Caenorhabditis elegans: one gene and its partners. The protein of the gene in region 1 interacts with the protein of each later gene in a biochemical or structural test. Each region holds a gene or a part of one and is shown on either strand. Other genes may lie near its edges.

What was found.
Region 2: the proteins of hsp-90 (region 1) and sti-1 form a complex in vitro, tested with the Caenorhabditis elegans proteins (one study listed by BioGRID).
Region 3: the proteins of hsp-90 (region 1) and fkb-6 form a complex in vitro, tested with the Caenorhabditis elegans proteins (one study listed by BioGRID).
Region 4: the proteins of hsp-90 (region 1) and D1054.3 form a complex in vitro, tested with the Caenorhabditis elegans proteins (one study listed by BioGRID).

What each region holds. Positions count from the first base shown.
Region 1 is NC_003283.11:14,683,588-14,690,049, forward strand, and holds hsp-90 (Heat shock protein 90), read left to right. Parts: upstream 1-2,572; 5' UTR 2,573-2,576; coding exon 2,577-2,726; intron 2,727-2,773; coding exon 2,774-3,478; intron 3,479-3,526; coding exon 3,527-4,512; intron 4,513-4,570; coding exon 4,571-4,838; 3' UTR 4,839-4,952; downstream 4,953-6,462. Other genes in the region: C47E8.3 (G-protein coupled receptors family 1 profile domain-containing protein), read left to right, coding at 1-50; C47E8.4 (Protein FAM50 homolog), read right to left, coding at 237-572, 767-929, 1,027-1,097, 1,147-1,218, 1,453-1,552, 1,606-1,735, 1,782-1,890; C47E8.11 (uncharacterized protein), read left to right, coding at 5,050-5,124, 5,172-5,333; gasr-8 (uncharacterized protein), read left to right, coding at 5,567-5,647, 6,175-6,462. UniProt on the Caenorhabditis elegans protein: Molecular chaperone that promotes the maturation, structural maintenance and proper regulation of specific target proteins involved for instance in cell cycle control and signal transduction. Undergoes a functional cycle that is linked to its ATPase activity.
Region 2 is NC_003283.11:770,822-776,051, forward strand, and holds sti-1 (Stress-induced-phosphoprotein 1), read left to right. Parts: upstream 1-2,696; 5' UTR 2,697-2,769; coding exon 2,770-2,781; intron 2,782-2,835; coding exon 2,836-2,962; intron 2,963-3,016; coding exon 3,017-3,499; intron 3,500-3,553; coding exon 3,554-3,894; 3' UTR 3,895-3,954; downstream 3,955-5,230. Other genes in the region: str-238 (Seven TM Receptor), read left to right, coding at 1,016-1,153, 1,198-1,652, 1,697-1,764; srbc-58 (Serpentine Receptor, class BC (Class B-like)), read left to right, coding at 4,174-4,348. UniProt on the Caenorhabditis elegans protein: Plays a role in gonad development. Up-regulates longevity and thermotolerance. Binds daf-21/hsp90 and inhibits its ATPase activity.
Region 3 is NC_003283.11:20,843,512-20,849,066, forward strand, and holds fkb-6 (peptidylprolyl isomerase), read left to right. Parts: upstream 1-2,646; 5' UTR 2,647-2,668; coding exon 2,669-2,882; intron 2,883-2,926; coding exon 2,927-3,825; intron 3,826-3,873; coding exon 3,874-4,056; 3' UTR 4,057-4,216; downstream 4,217-5,555. Other genes in the region: F31D4.2 (Sugar phosphate phosphatase), read right to left, coding at 1-84, 585-741, 1,396-1,550, 1,594-1,746, 1,798-1,903, 1,957-2,015; clec-264 (C-type lectin domain-containing protein), read right to left, coding at 4,237-4,399, 4,453-4,671, 5,351-5,555.
Region 4 is NC_003283.11:10,769,864-10,775,122, forward strand, and holds D1054.3 (SGS domain-containing protein), read left to right. Parts: upstream 1-1,587; 5' UTR 1,588-1,599; coding exon 1,600-1,616; intron 1,617-1,689; coding exon 1,690-1,885; intron 1,886-2,261; exon of another isoform or gene 2,262-2,367; intron 2,368-2,479; coding exon 2,480-2,757; intron 2,758-2,806; coding exon 2,807-2,912; 3' UTR 2,913-2,969; downstream 2,970-5,259. Other genes in the region: D1054.1 (PNPLA domain-containing protein), read right to left, coding at 16-61; pas-2 (Proteasome subunit alpha type-2), read left to right, coding at 518-555, 601-677, 731-977, 1,022-1,355; D1054.5 (CBS domain-containing protein), read right to left, coding at 2,990-3,298, 3,343-3,732.

The DNA of each region.
Region 1 (6,462 bases):
CGAAGCCATCGGCAGTTTATGATGAAAAACTTCAAGAGTGGCGGTTGTAAACGGGTTCATGAATTGTCTCATTTGATTACCTATTTGTTTTTAATTTGCTCCAATTTTTCTTATTTTTAAAAAGTGTTTCATATAAATTTTAGATTTGATATAAATTTTTTGTTTCGAAATTCAACACAAAAACAAACAGAAAACTTTACAGGAACAAATTCAAAGTAGAACATGAGATTAATAATTTACAAGTCACTGAGATCATCAAAATTACGACCGTATTTCTTGCTGGGCACGAATGGTTCCCATCGTGACGCCGGATAAATGTGCTTATTCTTTTCGTACCAACTACGAAGTACTATTTTCGCTGGATGAGATTCTCCATAGTCAAGTGCAGCATCTTGGCGTATACGAACATCGGAAGCCGAATCGAACACGAACAGCGGACCAGTCTTTCCCATTGCTTTTGTGACTATAAAGTCTTGGAACGTGTAGAAATGTGGTATGATGAGATCCTCTTTGACGAACATCAGATTCTCGGCTGTGCACGATTTAAGCTCCGTGAATTCCTTTTTCAGAGCCTGAAAATGAATATTTATAAATATTTTTTGATTTGTTGAAAAAAAAAAACAATTAAAAAATATTTTAGAGGGGAAGTAAAGTTTGTGGGTTTTTGCCCGAAACGGTCGAATTTCATAAATTGCCTTCTCAAAAAATTTCCAAAAAAATAAATACATAGAACACTTTTTTTTTATTTTCTGAAGTTCATTATTACCTCAATGGCTCTTCCTAGACATTGCGAAATCGTGTTTCCTTTCTTGATTTTCATATTTTTCCGATGTGAAGATCCATCCCAATAGGCGTAGGCAACTGTAATTTCCTCGTTTTTCTCGGCATCTTGCTTCACACGCCACTCGGCTGCCAATGATTCTTTCTTTCTGAAACCAGACTTATTATTTTTTATTTATTTGTTCACCGGGATGATCTACACCCGCCAAAATTTGAAATGTCGTTGTTTTTTCTTCTAGAACTCACTTTCTCAAGAACTCCTCTCGTTCTTTATCAGGCAGGAAGCTTGTGTCGACAGTTGGGTCCATTCCAACGCGCTGCAAACATTTTTCGCTTTAATTTTTTCTTTTTAATTATTATTCTTACCTTTTTCGGGATAATTGGTGCAGCATCTTCTTCGTCCTCTTCGTCATCAAATGCAAACGATAAAAATCGCTTCTGAAATTAGCAATATTAAAACAGTTTTTCTCGAATGTTCTACAAAAATGTTTTATATCTGCGTTTCCTCACACTCTCACCTGCCCTCAATTTTTCTTTCTCGAAAGTTCTCAAATTTTTAGAAATCTGGTATAAAAGACTCTTTCGACGAGAAATCTCTAGTCAATTGAACTACAACTGCTACCCGAGTCTAGAGCCTACAACCAAATTTCTACAGCAATCCTTCACATTTACCTGGGTATGTTTTGCAACGTGTTCTTCTTTTTCTCGAGCTTCTTGTGAATCTTTAGATTGAGTAGAAGATGATTGGTCTCCCCGGGCCACTTGTAGATCTCTATAAGGTACACATTTTTATTGTGAGGCTCTCCAAAATGTAGAAAATCGAACCTGTTTGAAATTTCGTTTTTCTGAATATTTTTCATATCATCCAATGATACCAAGCCATAGGTTTTAGACTTCACGACTTCTTCGACTGTTTCATAGTTTGCCATGAATTTATTCGTAATTCCGACCCTGCCTGCAAAATTTGTAGTTTTAATAATTAAAAAGGGGTTTCACCATACATTTTTCTTTGTCTTCTTCAAGCTTTCGCAATTGTTGTTCGATATCTTCCTTTTCACGCTCACGTTTCTTTGCCAAATGAATCAAGCGGCCTTCGTCGGCGCGGGACATTTTATTAACTGCAAAAATAAAATAAAAACCAATGAAAGCAATATTTTTCAACGAGTTCAATATTGAGAGTGACATATAGTTTATTTCGGGATTTTATTTAATATAGAATAATAATTTTAGATTTTTTTTTGGTGCAAAAATACCAAAAAAACGTCTTTTCGACGAAGTAATCTGAAAAAAATGAAGAAAAAACAATTCAAACTAAAAACAAGAAAATGTTTGTGGCCTAGTTACCTATTCTGCAAAACTTCGGCCAGGTGCTGAAAACGCGCTCTATTGACAATTTTCGTCGAGAATTTTCCGCCGAAAAGGGCAATTTGAAAACCAACCAATCAAATTGAAAGGCCACGCCCTCCTTCGAGAACATTTCGCATCTTGTTCAAAATTTAGACCTTCAATTACGCCTCAGAGCTCTGATATTCCCAGTTCTTTCGGTTTTCGGGTGAAGATTTTTGGTTTTCCTCTCACTAATATGGCTTTTATGTTAATCACGGATCATTGTTTTTGATTTTTAAAGGTTTTTGAACAATAGTTTTAGGCCTAAAATTAGTTCATTTCTAGATAAGGTTATAATGTGTTTTTAGTTTCGAAATCATTCGCCATGCGTGCTCTTTCATTCATTGAATCGTTATAAAGTTCTATTCAGTTTTTGTTGCTCGATTGTTAATTGATATTTTTCCAGAACCATGTCCGAGAACGCCGAAACCTTCGCATTCCAGGCTGAGATTGCTCAGTTGATGAGCTTGATCATCAACACTTTCTACAGTAACAAGGAAATCTACTTGCGTGAATTGATCTCAAACGCCTCCGATGCTCTTGACAAGATTCGCTACCAGGTTTGTTTTTTCGCTTCTGAGTCAATTTTTTAAAATATCGGTTTTAGGCACTCACCGAGCCATCCGAGCTTGACACTGGAAAGGAATTGTTCATCAAAATTACTCCAAACAAGGAGGAAAAGACCCTTACCATTATGGATACCGGAATCGGAATGACCAAGGCCGATCTTGTCAACAACCTTGGAACCATTGCCAAGTCTGGAACCAAGGCCTTCATGGAGGCTCTTCAAGCTGGAGCTGATATTTCCATGATTGGTCAGTTCGGAGTCGGATTCTACTCTGCTTTCCTTGTCGCCGATAAGGTTGTCGTCACATCCAAGAACAACGATGATGACAGCTATCAATGGGAGTCTTCCGCAGGAGGTTCTTTCGTCGTTCGTCCATTCAATGACCCAGAGGTCACCCGTGGAACGAAGATTGTCATGCACATCAAGGAGGATCAGATTGACTTCCTCGAGGAGCGCAAGATCAAGGAGATCGTTAAGAAGCATTCTCAGTTCATCGGATACCCAATCAAGCTTGTGGTTGAGAAGGAGCGTGAGAAGGAGGTTGAAGATGAGGAGGCTGTCGAGGCTAAGGATGAGGAGAAGAAGGAGGGAGAGGTCGAGAACGTCGCTGACGACGCTGACAAGAAGAAGACCAAGAAAATCAAGGAGAAGTACTTCGAAGACGAAGAGCTTAACAAGACCAAGCCAATCTGGACCAGAAACCCAGACGATATCTCCAACGAAGAATATGCTGAGTTCTACAAGGTATTTTTAGTTTTAATTATTTTATGGCAATAATTCCATTAATTTCAGAGCTTGTCCAATGACTGGGAAGATCATCTTGCCGTCAAGCATTTCTCCGTTGAGGGACAACTTGAATTCCGTGCTCTTCTCTTCGTCCCACAAAGAGCTCCATTTGATCTCTTCGAGAACAAGAAGAGCAAGAACTCCATCAAGCTCTACGTTCGTCGTGTCTTCATCATGGAGAACTGCGAAGAGCTCATGCCAGAATACCTTAACTTCATCAAGGGAGTCGTCGATTCTGAGGATCTTCCACTTAACATCTCTCGTGAAATGCTCCAGCAATCCAAGATCTTGAAGGTCATCCGTAAGAATCTTGTCAAGAAGTGCATGGAGCTTATCGACGAGGTTGCCGAGGACAAAGACAACTTCAAGAAGTTCTACGAGCAATTCGGAAAGAATCTCAAGCTCGGAATCCACGAGGACTCTACTAACCGCAAGAAGCTTTCCGATTTCCTTCGCTACTCTACCTCCGCTGGAGATGAGCCAACTTCCCTCAAGGAATACGTTTCCCGCATGAAGGAGAACCAAACTCAAATCTACTACATCACCGGAGAGTCCAAGGATGTTGTTGCTGCTTCAGCTTTCGTCGAGCGTGTTAAGAGCCGCGGATTCGAAGTCCTCTACATGTGCGACCCAATTGATGAGTACTGCGTCCAACAACTCAAGGAGTATGATGGAAAGAAGCTTGTCTCCGTCACCAAGGAAGGACTCGAGCTCCCAGAAACCGAGGAGGAGAAGAAGAAGTTCGAAGAGGACAAGGTTGCCTACGAAAACCTTTGCAAGGTCATCAAGGACATTTTGGAGAAGAAGGTTGAGAAGGTTGGAGTTTCTAACCGTCTTGTCTCTTCCCCATGCTGCATTGTCACTTCCGAGTACGGATGGTCCGCTAACATGGAGCGCATCATGAAAGCTCAAGCTCTTCGTGATTCCTCTACTATGGGATACATGGCCGCCAAGAAGCATCTCGAAATCAACCCAGACCACGCTATCATGAAGTAAGTTACCCAAAAACTATTTTAAAATGAACATTCACAAACGTTTTTGCTATTTCAGGACACTTCGTGATCGTGTCGAGGTCGATAAGAATGACAAGACCGTTAAGGATTTGGTTGTTCTTCTTTTCGAGACTGCTCTTCTCGCTTCCGGATTCTCCCTTGAGGAGCCACAATCTCACGCTTCCCGCATCTACAGAATGATCAAGCTTGGTCTCGATATCGGAGATGACGAAATTGAAGATTCTGCTGTTCCATCATCGTGCACCGCTGAGGCCAAGATTGAGGGAGCTGAGGAGGATGCTTCCCGCATGGAGGAGGTCGACTAAACATCCTATTTAATTTATCATTTGTTACGAGAAGATCTCCCCAAAAGCCCCTCCACAGTTTTATTCATTGTTTTCCTGTCTATCGAACCCAAATAAAGTTCCGTAATTAATTTCATCAATGTTTTTTTTTGCAAACGTGAACTTTTGAAGAAGCACATTTGAACAGTTTAGATACTCGAGGGAAATTAAACAGTTTTAGTTTATACGAAACATGATTGCAATCTTATTCGAGTTGGCATGTTTCCTGATCTTGGCCAGTGCTGTTTGCTGCATCATTCCAGAACCGGTTTATACATGAGTTGGAGATGAGTTTAATATCTTTTCATGTTTCAGGAAAAGCCATTCAATCCACCTCCACGTCCAAATTTCAATTATAACCTCTGGGATCCTGTCAATGAAGATTTCGAAGGACGCAAGTTGGATGTTCGTTGGTGGAATCCGGAAGAAGAAGATGAAGATGAAATTGTTCCAATCCCACCAAACCTTGCTGTCTAATCTCTCATTTTATTTCTAAAAATAAAAATTTTTCGATAATCGTTTTATGAACATATGCTTATTCTCTTGAAAAATCCGCTTTCCGCGCACGCAAATCTGTTGATGCGTGCTCAAATTGACATCCGTTACCATGCCAACTCTTTCCAACTGCCCTTGAGAAATTGAAAGCAGCTTTACTGAGCTCTTTCTGTGTTCCGGGCTCTCTTTGCAGTCTGTGCTCACTCCTATTAATTATGAAAACGGCAGGGACTTCGCGTGATACGTCTTCTAATATTCAAAACAAGCGAGTTATGAAGAAACCCAAAGCTATCAGGGTATGTATTAAAAGGGATATTCGAAATAAATGTTTTTTTTTCGTTTTTAGGCTTGCAATTTGTTTTCTCTACAGTACTTCAATTTAAAGGCGCATGTAGTTTTTTCTGCTGCTTAATTTTCAAAATACCGCTGAAAACACTTGAAAAATAACCGGAATATACGCAGTTTTTGTGGGTATACACTTTTTCCGTCACCTCTTAACGGAAAACTGTCGGCAACCGGTCTTCCATCTTTCCGCGCGCGTTTTCTCTCATTCTTCAGTTTTGTGTGTGTCAGCGGCATCGACCGAAAACATGCCGTCGATAGCTCAGTTGGTAGAGCGGAGGACTGTAGAGTTTGCAGATATCCTTAGGTCACTGGTTCGAATCCGGTTCGACGGAGTTCTTTTTGTTTCAGTTTTCATCGTAATTTTTTTGGTCGACCAACAGTTTTCTACGGATTGTGTTTCTTGTAATTTTAGCTGTTAAAGCAAAAGCAAAAATCTATTAAAATTACTATATTATCAAAAAATTTGTAACAATTTTAGTCTACATTATCGACCAATGCAGCTTCCCGTCGAAAACCTGCAATAGGATCTGCTGCCAAAAAGAAAGTCCAAGTTGTTGAGCCAATCCAGAATCAGAATGCAGATTCCCGAAAGATAGCTGAAGTTGAGAAAAAATTAAACGCAATTCAAATTACAAAAGACCGCCTGAAAGATCGAGCTGATAAGTTGAGTGGAGAATTGACAAAAACTAGAGTGGAACTGAATGCAGCTCAACAGGAAAGAGGAAGAATTCAACAATTCTGGAGAATAGCTGAAAATGGATTAGGA
Region 2 (5,230 bases), about 14 Mb from region 1:
TTAACTTGAAAAACTATGTTTTCACAAATGTCTTTTTGCAGCGATCATGCCCGTGGTTTGTATCGAACAAAACACGACGGCCAGAATCCACCAAAAATTGTGCTGCCAAAGCGTCCCATCATCGATTGCACACAATTCTACAAGAGCAGCGAGGATATCGATGAGGAGCAAGTTCCATCAACTTCGAACTTTCAATCATCTTCGAACTCTCTATCAACTTCGAAATCTGCTGGAAGGGAAAATATCCCAGACTCCCCATAAATTCACTAGTTCTCCTGTTTTCTGATACTTTCGAAACTTGTTTTTTTGTTTTTTTTTCCATTTTTCGTTAAATGTTTTTTTTCTGTTGTTTTTTCATTTTGTTTCATTTTCATAATAAATCGTGTTATTTTTTATGGTTTTATAAAAGTTTAATCCAATATGAAAGCAAAACTAGCTAGCAAGAAAGCATAACTACGTAGCAAAACATCACCGCTAATCAGCGGAAAAGCACAATTACTGCGGTTGACTAAGCCGTGACATAAATGCTAATTAGCAGTGATTTTCTATCGCTCTGCCGTGACTCCAGTCTATCTGAGGGGTACTGTAGGGGTACTGTAAGGGTACTGTAGTTTAGGAAAAATTGACTTTTCGTGTTTAGGAAGAATATTGGCTTGGGGTTAGACTGTCGCAGTACTGTAGAGGTAGTGTAGGATTACTGTAGTCTTGGAATATCTGACTTTTCGTTTTTTGAGAGGATATTGGTTTGGATTTAGTGGGGTTAGATGGTCGCAGTACTGTAAGGGTACTGTAGGATTACTATAGTTTAGAAAAAATTCACTGAAGTTTAAAGGAAAAGTCGTGGTGAGACCTATCATGGCTAAAGCCATTCGTTTTGGCGGGAATTCAAATTTTCTGACTATGAGAAAAAATTTTGGCAAGAAATTCAATTTCTGAGAAAATAAAACTTTCTAGAAAAATTTTGAAAATTGTGGAATTAATATAATAAAAATTTTAAAACGTTAACCTTTTTCAGCCATTCATTTCTTAAAACAAAATCACTCCGAAAAACGTTGATCTGGCTCTTGATTCCTGTTATCTACGGTTTCCTCTGGGCAGTCAATTTATATTGTACACTATGGGTCAACACGGATACTGAACAGATATTACAGGGGTGAGTAAAATGAAATGCTTGTTGTACTCTGTTGAACTTCTCAGGAATGGGTATTTACGCGAGAATAAGTTAAACATATCCGACGTAACATATATTGGGCCCAACTATTGGAAACTTGATGAAAATAGAAATGAAGTTATAAATTGGAGAACAATGTTGGGAATGTCTATTGCATCGACACTGATCTCGATTTCCTTCGCAATGATTGTCATTTTTGCAACTTTAAGCTACAAAGAGGTCTCCAAGCTAACCGAGCTGACTTCCCACTCCGAAAAATTCCGTTCAATTCAACTGCAACTTTTAAATTCTTTGGTGTTGCAATCACTTGTCCCGGCGTTTTTCATACAGTTGCCATCGTTCGTCCTATTTCTGGCGCCTTTTTTTCATTGTGGAAGGCCAGTGTTTGGCGAGATAATTGGTGTGACGGTTGCTCTATACCCAGTCTTGGACTCACTTCCAACAATTTTAGTGATCAAGGCTTTCCGTGAAGCAATATTTCGTGAGTAAAAGTTGCCAGCCAAATAAGTTGAGTGTATTTTCCAGATTGTTGCCCATTCACTAATAAAAATGCTACACTTCCCACATCCGTAGCACTGGTTACTATTCAATAATAATACATTCAATTTAAATGATAGAAAATGGACTGTATAACTTAATCGAAACTTGTTTTTACACTTTGCAAGAATCTGATTATTTTAAAATTTTTGTAGATCACAACGATATGGGACATTATGACACCACGAGAGAAATGTCTGAAAATTTACACACATCAAAGTATATACAATAAATCGGTCATTACGGCTCATTTTCTATCTTTTAAAGTAAACATTTTGCGTCAAGAATACGGTAGCCGGTCTCGACACGACAAGCCTTTGTCAAATGAGAAAAGGTGTGCGCCTTTAAAGAGTACTGTAATTTCGAGCTTTTGTTGGTACGGAACTTTTATCGATTTTTTTTTAGAATTTACGTGTTTTTATTTGTTTTATTCAAGTCTTTTTATTAAATAATAACAGTTGAGACGAAAATATGAAAACTCGATGAAAATTCCACAACAACAAGAGTTTGACGCTACAGTAATCTTTAAAGGAGCACACCCGATTACATTAAACAAAAATAGTCGCGTCCAGACCTGGTACCATATTTTTGACCAAAAATATTCATTATTCCGCGAATTAATGATAACAAAAGTCAGAATTTTGTTTAGTTTCGGGAAAATTCGGAGCAAAATTCAGAAAAATTCAAAATTTGACTCGATGCTCGTTATTTTCCGGAGTATCTGTATTTTTATCGTGAAATCCAGTTCACATTGGGTATTCCGGGCGCCTTTACTTTTCTTTTTTAAATTTCCTAATCAATTTCTATATTTTTATGTATAAAAATCGATCTAAAACGAAACGGGTATTATTTAAAATTCAAGCGTCTCCCGCCAAGCGATTATTTTCTCTGCGTCTCTCTCCTTCGCACACTCTCTGCCTCGCTCGCTCAATAGAGCGCGTTTGCCATTGGCAAATTTTCTCGAAGAATTCCTCATTTTCTCGATTCATTTCCTTCTTTTCATCGTTTCTGCTCACTTTTATCTCATTTTTTTTTCAGATTTTTTCAATATTTCGGCAAAAATGACGGACGCCGTAAGTTTTTCAACAATTAATCAATAAAATTCAACTAAAATTCCCTATTTTCAGGCGATTGCTGAAAAAGATCTCGGAAATGCTGCCTACAAGCAAAAGGACTTTGAAAAAGCTCATGTTCACTACGACAAAGCGATCGAGCTTGATCCTAGTAATATTACCTTCTACAACAACAAAGCCGGTAGGTTTTTATTTAAAAAAAACTGTAGATTTTCCCTAATTTTCCGAATTTCAGCCGTCTATTTCGAGGAGAAAAAATTCGCGGAATGTGTGCAATTCTGCGAGAAAGCCGTCGAAGTTGGACGCGAGACCCGTGCCGATTACAAGCTTATCGCCAAGGCCATGTCTCGTGCCGGAAACGCTTTCCAGAAGCAGAATGACTTGAGTTTAGCCGTCCAATGGTTCCACCGCTCGCTCTCCGAGTTCAGAGACCCCGAGCTTGTCAAGAAAGTCAAGGAGCTCGAGAAGCAGTTGAAGGCGGCCGAGCGTCTTGCCTATATCAATCCAGAGCTTGCCCAGGAGGAGAAGAACAAGGGAAACGAGTATTTCAAGAAGGGCGACTATCCGACAGCGATGAGGCACTACAACGAAGCGGTGAAGCGTGATCCGGAGAACGCGATTTTGTACTCAAACCGGGCCGCGTGTCTGACGAAATTGATGGAATTCCAGAGAGCTCTTGATGATTGTGACACTTGTATTCGGCTGGACTCGAAATTTAGTACGATTTTCTAATTTTTTTGCTCAGAATTAACTAAAAATTGTATTATTTCAGTCAAGGGATACATCCGCAAAGCCGCTTGCCTCGTCGCAATGCGTGAGTGGTCGAAGGCTCAGCGAGCCTACGAAGATGCTCTCCAAGTCGACCCATCCAACGAAGAAGCCCGTGAAGGTGTGCGTAACTGTCTGCGAAGCAACGACGAGGATCCCGAGAAGGCCAAGGAGAGAAGTCTCGCCGATCCAGAAGTTCAGGAGATTCTCCGCGACCCAGGAATGCGTATGATTCTCGAGCAGATGAGCAACGACCCGGGAGCCGTGCGAGAGCACTTGAAGAATCCGGAGATCTTTCAGAAACTCATGAAGCTCCGCGACGCTGGAGTCATTCAGATGCGCTAATTATTTGATTGCTCCCGGTTTTTCACCCATTATTTGATTTTTATTTGAATTTTTCTCCCCCCCCCCCCCCCCATGGTCTGTGTTTTTTGCATCTCGCTCGTCCTCTGGACTCGTCTTCAAAATATAAAAATATATTTATCGTCGTCGCAACTAAAAGACAAACAAAATCTCATTAATTTCAGACATTTTTTTGTACTTCGCACTACAAAATTGTTCATTCGACTGGAAGCTGAACCAAAAAATTCGTCGAAAACAAAAAAGTCACAACTTCCTTCCCTTATGTCTTCTTTGGTGACGTCGGTAGCGATTTCAGCGATTTTTTTCACCGAAATCAACGTTTTTCTGAATTTCTACCTGCTTTCTCAAATATTTATACGAAAGAAAATCCAGAAAAAGCCAGAATTATCACTGATTTATTGCCGTTTTCTAATCGACGTGATTTATTCTTTCGATAGTGAGTTATTTTTAAGCGGAATCTAGGAAATTTCTCCAAATTTGCCCGATTCTGCTCGAAATCGCGAGTTTCTTTCCCCAAAACCATTTTCAAACGCGCGCCAGGGACATTCTCATTGGAGCGCGCCGCGTGTGTCGATTTACGAGAGTTCGCATTTTTCTCGAGTTTTTTGCGGAAAAAATCGAAATTTCAATGTTTGAAGCGAGAAAAAGTGATGAAAAAAAAGGAAATTCATTGAAAAAATCGGAAATCTGAAAAATAAAATTTTCTTATAACCTGAAACATGGTAAAATCTTAATGTAAGTGTTCAAATTATCAGTCATACGTAAAAAACGGAAAAATTATCGGCAATTTGCCGGTTTGTCGGAAATTTCGAATCCGGCAATTTGCCGATTTACCCGAAATTTCGATTCCGGCAATTTGCCGGTTTGCCGGAAAATTCAATTTTAGCAATCTGCCGATTTGCCGGAAATTTTCAATTCCGGCAATTTGCCGGTTTGCCGGAAATTTAAATTTCGCCAATTTGCCGATTTGCCGGAAATTTCAATTTCGGCAATTTGCCGATTTGCCGGAAATCTTCAATTCCGGCAATGTTCACGTCACATATTTCTGGCGAAAAAGTTCCCGCATTTATTGTAGATCACACCGAAATGGGACAGCCTGGCACCGGGATTCCCAGTCAGGGGTTGGCGGCAAACAACTTTTCCGGCAAACCGGCGAATTGCCGGAATTGAAAATTTCCGGTAAATCGGCCAATTGCTGGAATCGAATTTTCCGGTAAATCGGCCAATTGCCGGAATTGAAGATTTCCGGCAAACCGGCAAATTTCCGAAATTGAAGATTTCCGGCAAATCGGCAAACCGGCAAACTGCCGGAGTTGAA
Region 3 (5,555 bases), 6.2 Mb from region 1:
AAGAACCTTCACAATCATATCGTTGACATCGTCGATAAGTACGAAATCTGCTAGTTTTGAAGAAGCCGACATTGATGACATCGCCTGTAAATAGGTAACAAAATTTGTTAATAGAATTCATTTTCAGGTTCCAAACATTGGTGTGCGGATAACCGATTTTTCGGCAAACGGATAAATCGGTTAATGCTGGTTTAGAAAAACCGGCTAACGGATAATTCGGCAATTTCAGAAAATATTCATATGGTTAAGCTTTTTTTCGTTCTTTCTGTCAATTCAGGTTTTGGGTTAATTTTTTCACTGTTATTGAGCAAAACCAAAAAAAATCAAATAGAAAAAAACTCATATAAATTCAAAAAATTTTGTTTTCCAAAAAAATGTGTTGGCTAACATCAGCCAAAGTCGGCTACCGGAAAACTTTAAATTAGCCAAACTGCCAAAAAGTCCGCGAATTCGGCTAATTGGTAAAAAACTCGGCAAGCAGATCATTCGGCTAATATTAGCCAAATCAGCCAATCGGTAAATTCGGCTAAATCAGTTATTAGCCGCACACCCCTGGTTTCAAACTGTTCCGCATAATAATTTACCAAGGTATGATCGTCTCCACCAGTCAATGACATATCAGCTCGGTTTCCCCACAAGCTCATTTTCAGTATTGTGTTGATTCCGAATAGTTCATGAACTGGAGCATCTTTCGCTGAGATTTTATTGATAAATGCCGCCGACTCTTCGATTTGTGGGAGGCTGAAATGATTATTTTCAACTTTTCGATGAGAAAATAAATTTTGTGATTTTTTCCACCAAAAATACTTTTTGTTATTGCAAACAAAAGTGTGCGCCTTTAAAAAGTACTGTAATTTCAAACATTTTTTCCTGTCTAATTTTGATCGATTTTTTTAATGCTTTTTGATAGAAATGCATTTATTATTGAAAATTTCGAAATTGAAAATTTCCGGCAAATGGGCAAACCGGCAGATTGCCGAAAATTTTGGGCAAATTGTACGCATCCTATGAATGTTCATAGATCTATTGTGAAAAGTAAACAAATTCTATAAAAATAGCTGAAGAAAACGGAAAAAATTATATAAAGGCACAGTTTTAAGTGTTTCCGTCTTATAAAAAATCTCTCTGAGCATTTTCGGCAAATCGACAAGCCGGCAAATTGCCGGAAAAGAGAATTTCCGGCAAATCGGCAAACCGACATTTGTCGGAATTGAAAATTTGCGGCAAATGTGCAATTTGACAAACATTAAAATTTCTGGCAAACCGGCAATTTGCTGATTTGCCGAACGGTAATTGCCGCCCACCACTGAATCAGAGTACTCCTATAGTTTTGGATTACTGATAAAAACCAATTTTTCTTCTAAACAATCGAATTGCCACAGAAAAAATTCTTACTGATCTAGGAAATTTTTGCGCTTCGAGTCCTGGAAATAATCATATTCGCTGAGGCGAATAGTTTTTGCAAACGTGCTCCAGATGAATCTGTAGAGCCAGCACTCAACAAAAAGCCATGGTCCTTTGAAAAAAGTGAGATCTTCAACTTCGTCGGGCTGAAAAAATCATTAATTAATTGAATTCAAGAGAATTATTTACCATTGCAGCAGTTCTCATGTCGCTGAGCAAATTTCTCCACATTTCAGAATCCAACTGGGTGTCCATTAGATTGCAAAGTGGCTTGTCAGTCATGATTTCATATCGAAGCTTTGAAAAAACTTCTAAAATAGCTGCAATATCTGATTCAACTTCCTGAAAGAAAATACAATTATAATTTGATTTTAATTCAATATATTTACGAACACTGCCATATTTCTCAATAAGGCTCGCTCTTTTTTGAGCCAATTGATCGACTAGCCCAGTAACAATCTTCGGCCATCGGTCTCTTACAGTGTAATAGGCGAACGTGCTGAAAAATTGTAATTTACAAACTTTAAAGTCGAAAAATCAATAGAAACCAACCCCTCCTTCTTCCCGCGTAGTTTCGGCGCCAAGTGATCGTACTCGTCGGCGTTCTCCATCACTCACAGAGGTTTTATTACTGAAAATTGAGTTTTCATACAATTTTCGACTGAAAAACGTTAAGAAACATGAAAAATTCCAAGGAAATCGATGTGCCTCGAAAAATCGAACATTTTGGGGTACGGTCAACAATGGCAAACGGCGTTTTCTGTGCAAACACGCGCAAGTGAGTTGCGTACTTGGCGCTCTAAATGACGCGCAAAGAATTGGAATGTTCTAGAGCTCACTTTACGTGATTTTCAAGTTATATGAAGTAATTTTACGTTAATCTCATTCGAATTTACTTTTTTCTGCTGCGTTCTCTTATTGATGTTCGCCTACCGTCATTGTTCAGATCAGGGCTGCGCGACGAACACACAAAACGGCTTATCCAAAGTTAATGTAGAGATGTAGAAAAATATTTGTTCCAGCTTAAAATGGCCTTCAAAAAAGCCTTCAAAAACGCTTCAAATAGTGCTTGAATGTGTCTTTTTGTAGCTTTTCAACAAAAGTAAATGTTATTTTCAGATAGAACAAAGCTTTTTCTACATTTCTACATTAATTTTGAAATAAGCAGTTTTGTGCGTTTTCTGGAAAAAGCGCCGCACAGCCCTGGTTCAGATTTCAATAACTTTATTTTAATATTTTCAGGTAAATTAGCGAGATTCGCAAGATGTCCGGCGAAAAGATCGATATCACCCCAAAGAAGGACGGTGGAGTGTTGAAACTCATCAAGAAGGAGGGTCAAGGAGTTGTCAAGCCAACCACTGGAACGACCGTGAAGGTGCATTACGTCGGAACTCTTGAGAATGGAACCAAATTCGATTCATCCAGAGATCGCGGTGATCAATTCTCATTCAATTTGGGAAGAGGAAATGTGATTAAAGGTATTCAGAGTAATGTTAGCGTGTAGAAAATCATCAATTTCCAGGTTGGGATCTCGGTGTTGCCACAATGACCAAAGGCGAGGTGGCGGAATTCACAATTCGCTCGGATTATGGATATGGAGACGCGGGATCACCACCGAAGATTCCAGGAGGGGCAACGCTGATCTTCGAAGTGGAGCTTTTTGAATGGAGCGCCGAGGATATCTCTCCGGACAGGGATGGGACGATTCTTAGAACGATTATCGTCGAAGGATCCAAAAACTCTTTCCCAAATGACACCAGCAAGGTTTTGGCACATTGCGTCGGAACCTATCAAGGCACGGAGTTCTACAATCGTGAAGTGAACTTCCACATCGGAGAAGGTTCGGAAGAAGGCCTTCCGGAAGGTGTCGAGCGGGCTTTGCGTCGTTTCCAGCTTGGAGAAAAGTCAAAAATTGAAATTCGCGGTCATAAGTACACCTACGGAAACTCTCCACCTGCTGGATCAAATATTCCAGTCAATGCTACTCTTGAATTCACAATTTTCCTGAAGGAGTTCGAAAAAGTTCCAGCGACTTGGGAAATGACTGCAGAGGAGAAGCTTGATGCTGCGAAACAAGCCAAAGATCGTGGAACCATGTACTTGCAGAAGGGAAATCTCAAATTGGCCTACAACAAGTACAAGCGGGCCGAGGAAGTGTTGGAGTATGAAAAGTCAACTGATCCCGAGAAGATGGCCGAAAGAGAGACAATTTTGAACGGAGCGTATCTTAATTTGAGTCTGGTTTGTTCGAAGCAAAACGAGCAATTGGAGTGCATCAAGTGGTGCGATAAGGTCCTGGAAACGAAACCAGGAAACGTCAAGGCACTGTATCGCAAAGCAACTGCCCTCTTGACCATGAACGAAGTCCGAGATGCCATGAAGTTGTTCGAGAAGATTGTGGAAGTAGAGCCGGAGAATAAGGTTTGCAGGAAATCTGTTGAGTTTATAATTTGTAATATATTAATTCAGGCCGCCGCTCAACAAATCATCGTCTGCCGTAACACGATCCGCGAGCAAAACGAGCGTGACAAGAAGCGCTTCAAGAATCTATTCGCCAAAATCTCCACAGAAGAAGACAAGCCAACCAACACTGTTGAGGATGAAGATGAAATCGTTGCATCCACGTCTGGAAGCTCTACTTCCAATGCTTAGATAACCTCTCTCTCCCAGTATCCCCTATTTATTCGTAATGTGTTTTCATTGTGATCTCTCTTCCCCAGAATTCAAGCTATTGTTTTCCCTTTTATTGATATCGCATATCATGGTAGTTGTATACTGTAATATTTATTTAAATTAAGATTTATTGCTCTGTACATGTACAATCCAGTCAGGTTAGATAATTATTTCGTCTCCCAGGTTCCCATCCGGAATACAATTGTATTCAAAGGCCCAGTGGTTAGATGCATTGAACTGCTCTCCGGTGTCATAAGAGATGAACATCGAGTTCTGCGTAGTTTTTATGAGATCCACAGAGCTTGGAGAGAATTGACGGAATCTATAATCACTTTTTAATTCTTTAAAATTACAATTTCAATCAAAGTCACTCACATTTTCAACTTTCCCGCGGTTTCATCGTTTCCATTAAATATCTTGACTCGATCGGATTTATCCAGCTGCATCGCCTTCAATTTCAGTGCCACGTGATGAGCAATTGGACATTGAATGAGATAGTATTGGATGAGGAAGGAATCCGGAGAATTTGGATAATTGTTCGATGTAACTGTGCCAAAAGAGTTCGATGAGAACACTTTCACAGGAAGTGGACGTCTGGAAATTGAAGATTTTCGGATAAAATTCAAAATCGAATTTTTTGAACTGGATTTGAAAAAAAATTCGAAAATTTCTAAAACCATCGACTTTATTACATGAACACAGAATTCTGAGAATGCGTATTGCACAACATATTTGACGCGTAAAATATCTCGTCACGAAAACTACAGTGATTCTTTAAATGACTATAGTATACTGTAGCGCTTGTGTGTCGATTTACGGGCTCATTCGTTTCTTCGCATTATTTTCTAATTATTAACTTAATTTCAATACTTTTTCGATAAATAAATGTGTTTTAATCCATTTGAGCTCGTAAATCGACACAAGCGCTACAGTAGACATTTAAAAAATTACTGTAGGTTTCGCTACGAGATATTTCAAATATGTTGCGCAATACGTATTCTCAGAATTTTGTGTGTGTGTGTTTTTTTTTAGTAATATCTGAACATTAAAAAAAATTGAAATGTTTTCTTTATATTGAAATTTTTCTGAAGAAAACGGAAAACGGAACTTTAAAAAAGATGTTCCTTTTTGGGAAATCGAGTATTTTCAGTTTTCTGAAAAAAAAACAAAAAAAATTTAATTTTCTGAAAATAGCAGAAAAAGAAGAAAAAACTTTTTTTTGAAAACCTAAAGTAAAAAATTAATAAAACTAATGAAAAGTGTATAAACCTACAGTATCTTGTATCTCATAACGAAACCTTTTCCAATATTATCCTCATCAGACTTGAAATTAATCATAACATGATTTCGATTACTGATAACTGAGTGATTACGATGTGAACCAGAAAGACGGAAAAGTGTTCTTCCAGAAATACCGTAATCATCAGTTACGGTAATAATATCACAATTATGTTCTGTATCCACTTCTTCAAAATACA
Region 4 (5,259 bases), 3.9 Mb from region 1:
ATTAGAAATTCGTACCTTCTAGTTTGTTTAGTCGTTTCAGCAAAATAGTCGATATTTTCATAGTTATAGATTTTATATAATAAAAATTAAATCACAAGTGTCTCATGGTAAAGAAGATTTCCAATAAACATGCCACTGTGTTGAAGAAACTAAATAAAAACAAAAGTGACGAATTACAGCGTTGCCCGCATGGAGGAGTTGAGACGATGAATATGTTTTTAATTTATGTGAAAAAGATAAAAATCAATTAACGAAAAAATTCACATGCATTAAACATTTAGAGAAGTGTAAACATTTTAATTTTCACAATAAATGTTTGGTAATTAGATTCTCCGGGAATTTTGCGTCGATGAAGTGGTCATAAAGCGCGCTCTACCGCACTCAGTTCGAATGATGACAATTTCACCGGGTTTTCTTTTTCATTTGCTCCTCGCTTTAAAGCAAACGCTTTCTTGTTGTCAATTGGTGTTCGATTAAATTTCTCAGTTAAAATAAATTTTTCAGAAATCACTGAAAAATGGGAGATCACTATGGATTCTCACTCACCACCTTCAGGTAGTTTAAATTCAATCTCCAGAAAAGTCAATTTTATTTTTATAGCCCATCGGGAAAATTGATGCAAATCGAATATGCATTGAATGCTGTCAAGAATGGGCAACCATCGGTTGGACTGAGAGGTATTCAAGTTTTTGTCTTGTACTGTCGTTTTCAATGGGAAATTCATTTTCAGCTAAAGACGGAGTCGTTCTTGCGACCGAGAATGTCGGATCTGTTCTCACCGATGACCAGCCAAAGGTAGAACAAATCAGCAAGCATATTGGATGCGTCTACAGTGGAATGGGACCAGACTTCCGTATTTTGGTGAAGAAAGCTCGCAAGATTGCTATGGAATACGAAATGATGTACGGCGAGGAAATGCCAACCATTCAACTTGTCACTGACATCGCGGCCGTAATGCAGGAATATACTCAATCTGGGTGAGTTAGAACTTTTCTAAACGCACTCTATTCAGATTTTTCAGTGGTGTTCGTCCGTTTGGAGCATCGCTTCTTATCGCAGGTTGGGACAAAAATCCAGGACGGCCATTGCTCTTCCAATGTGATCCATCTGGAGCTTACTTCGCATGGAAAGCAACAGCACTCGGGAAAAACGACGTCAATGCGAAAACATTCCTCGAGAAGCGCTTCAGCGAGGCCCTCGAGCTCGATGATGGAATTCACACTGCTCTTCTGACACTGAGAGAATCGTTCGATGTTGGCATGAACGAGAACAACGTTGAGGTGGCTGTTTGTAACTCGACCGGATTCCATCGGCTCACCAAGCAACAAGTCCATGATCACCTTGGAACTCTTTAAATCGAGTGATTTCACAATTTTCTTTCTTTCTTTTCTCTAATTTATTCTATGTATTCTCCCATCTATCCGTACCCGGTAGTAATCTCTTTTTGCTACGGTGTTTTGTTGGAACAATGAATCCTTTTACCGTTTTACACCCGACTTTTGAGGTACTTTTATTAAGGTGTATAACCCTATTAGGTTGTTTATCTTGACTGAATTTTCTCAGACTTATGAACAAACTTGTTTTCAGCTATTAATCAAAATGTCTTCAAAACCAAGGTGAGCATTAAAATTTACAGGATAGTGAATTTTAAAAATTTTGAAATAAGAATTCGTTACATTCAAATTTCAGGCATGATTGGTTCCAGAGTGAAACTGATGTCACTTTAACTATCCTAAAACGCGGAGTGCCTCTCGATGATTGCTCTGTTTCTCTATCAGATAACAACACACTGACGGTCAAGCAATGTGATGAGATTCTCTTCTATGGACAATTATCTGGTCAAGTGAAAAAAGATGATCTTACTGTAAAATGCACTGCCGCCAAGGTTAGTTGGGTTGAAATATTATTGTAGATCCATTAGAAACTAGAAAACTAGATAAATGTCTAAACGTCAAGATTTTCTAGTGATCCTCCCAAGCATACCTTATTTATTAAATTATGGTTATTAACATTAAAAACATGTTTTCCGGCCATGGAAAATTGATTGGAATTTGTTTAATTTTAGTGTAGTTTATTTTAACTCGATTGAAACAGTTATTCAAGAATAGTCTGAGAAATTGCGTCTAGTCAGAAAATGCTAGCTATTAATGCTATTAATGCTCTACATTCACCTGAACGAGTTATAGATTGTACCAAGTAAGGACATGTGGCTCAGTGGTAGAATATACCCTTACTACGCATACAGTTGTGGTTCGGTAACGACAGGATGATGAGTCACTCGCTGAGTGACAATAAGCCGAGTGTTAGCGGTTTTTATGTAATCGTGATGATCATTCCCTCAAAAGCGATAATTGTGAACTGACTGTCCGAAACCACAAAAAAAAATAAAAAATTGCGTTCCATAATAACTTGATTGGATTTAAAAACGTCCAGAGCAAAATTTTTGAATAAAACAACTTTTATTTAAAACTTATTCCAGGTAGAAGTTCGACTTCCGAAATTCGCTCGCAATGAACGATGGGCTTCTCTGCTGAAAGACGGACAAGGTGTTGCCGCTTCTGTACAGAGTGTATCACCAAATCCAGAAAGTGCACCAACTACTACTGTGAAAAAGAATTGGGATGCTATCGAGAAACAAGCTGTAAAAGAAGAGGAAGATGAATCGCTGGAAGGTGATGCCGCTGTAAACAAAATGTTCCGTAAGATGTACAACGACGCTTCGGATGATGTCCGACGTGCCATGATGAAGAGCTATTCGTAAATCGTTATTGCCTGAAAACCAAGAGATTATAGTGATTATTTTCAGTGAATCAAATGGAACCGTCTTGTCTACAAATTGGTCTGAAATTGGTCAAAAGAAAACGGAATGTCAGCCACCAGCATGTATGGAATATAAGGAATATGAAAAGTGATGATTAAATTCTTATTTTGTTATATGAACACCGCCAAAAATGAAACTTCATGTCAAATGTTTTGTTTTAAAGTTTAATTAAAATCTCATATCCTCGATATCCCCTTCAGATTCGTTGGTCCCCTGACGCTTGATAACTGCTTTGTCTCTGGAGGTGTATAATTTTTCATAACCATTATGTGGTTCCGGATCTGTTGGATCTGTGGATTGTGAGCTCGTATCTGATTCAAATGGAAGAAAAGCTTGTGATAGTGATGGACGTTTCTTATTTGTCATTTCCAATCTGATGGTATTCATTGTCTCGGTCTTGGCGACCTTTCCAGCTATTTGTTCGATCCATTTCTCCGTTTCGTTTTTCTGCTGGCTCCACTGTTGTTTTACTTGATCCTGAAACGTTATATTACTCAATTGAAGATAATAGCTCTGATCACCTGAATATAGGATTCAATGTCTTCTGCATGCCTCCTCATCTCTTCAAGAGACATATCTTTCAAATCCGGATCTTCAACAGAAACAGTTTGCACTTCAGTGTAATCTAGCTGAAAAGAGCATTCTGGATGGACAATCGTGTTGTGGCATCGCGTGAAGCTCAATGGTGCTGGTGGAGCACGATTTGGCGGTGGAGGTGGTGTACGATCATCGCCCAAACGAATCTCGACATTGCATTGTGCACTAGATGAACCCGGAAATTGATTCGATGACGGTGAGAACGATATCGTGTCATATTTATGACTTCCCTGTGGTCGGAGAGCAGATTCAGAACGATTACGACCATTTGCGGAGAGAATCGGAGGCGAAAAAAGTTGTTCCACACTTGTAGACTGTAAACAGGAAGGAATGTTATTTATTATTTTGTTGTGGACTTAAGTGTACTTTAAAAACATTACAATATTCGGTATGGAACGTAAATATTCTGTAAAATACAAAACTGTTCAAATTTACAATTCTTCTAATTTCGTACTAACAAATTTGATAATACATTTGAGAAGTGTCACGTCACACTGTAAAAAGGTTACTGTGGCTTGCGTCGATTTATGGTATTGCATCATCCTTTTCAACAAAAAACATGAAAGGTAGCATACAAATAATCTCATATGTAGTAATAGCTATACTTACTATTATCAGGTTGTCCCATAAGTTTTTGTACTTTTTTTCAAATATTTTTCCAAAACTTCTAGAAAGTTTTAAAATTTTTTCATCGTAGGTCGTGTCAAGGTCGGGTCGTCCCCTTTCAGAAAAGATTCATTTCATCCATTTCTACTTTGCCACGATGACAATCATCAAACTTGAACGTCGAGACGTTAGATTGCTTCTTCTTTATGAATTTCGTCTTGGTCATTCAGCAATGGAAGCGGAACGAAACATATGCGGTGCGATGGGTGAGGGAGCACTCTCTTATAATACAGCAAAGAGTTGGTTTCAAAAGTTCAAGAACGGCGACTTCAGTCTCGAAGAAATAGAACGTTCTGGGCGACCGGTAGAGTTAAATGAAGAAGACCTAGTGAAGCTGGTGGAGGAAGAGCCTCGTCTTAGTCTTCGTGAAATGGAAGAGAAGCTTGAGTGTTGTCATAGCACAATTGCACGTCACTTGGGTCGCCTTGGTTTTACTTCAAAACTTGGAACTTGGGTGCCTCATGAACTTTCGGCATCACAGAAGCTCACTCGGGTCAACGTTTGTACTCAACTTCTAACTTTTCGTCGAAAGTTCGATTGGCTGAACAATCTGGTTACTGGAGATGAGAAGTGGGTGCTCTATGTTAACCATTCCAGAAAACGTCAATGGCTTCCGATCGGTGAGAAAGGAATACCGACGCCAAAGCCCAAAAAAGATTATGATCTGTGTCTGGTGGGGTGTTCAAGGACCCGTGCACTGGGAATTGTTGCCAACTAATAAAACTATCACTGCTGATTACTATTGTGCCCAATTGGACCGAGTTGCAGAAAAGACCAACGGAAAATATGAAAAACTATATTTTCTTCACGATAATGCTAGGCCTCATGTCGCCAAGAAGACTTTCCAAAAGCTGCAAGATCTTGGTTGGACTGTTTTACCGCATCCACCATATTCTCCAGATCTTGCACCAACCGACTACCATTTGTTCTTGTCTCTCAGTGACTACATGCGCGACAAGCAATTCGACGACGAAGAGCATCTCAAAACTGAACTCTCCACTTTCTTCTCATCGCGTTCGCCGGATTTCTTCTCCCGTGGCATCATGATGTTACCTAGTAAATGGCAACAAGTGGTGGACACTAATGGTGAATACTTGTGTGAATAGTACTACTTGTCGCTTGAGAGAAATAAATTTTTTTCAAAAAAAAAATAGTACAAAAACTTATGGGACAAC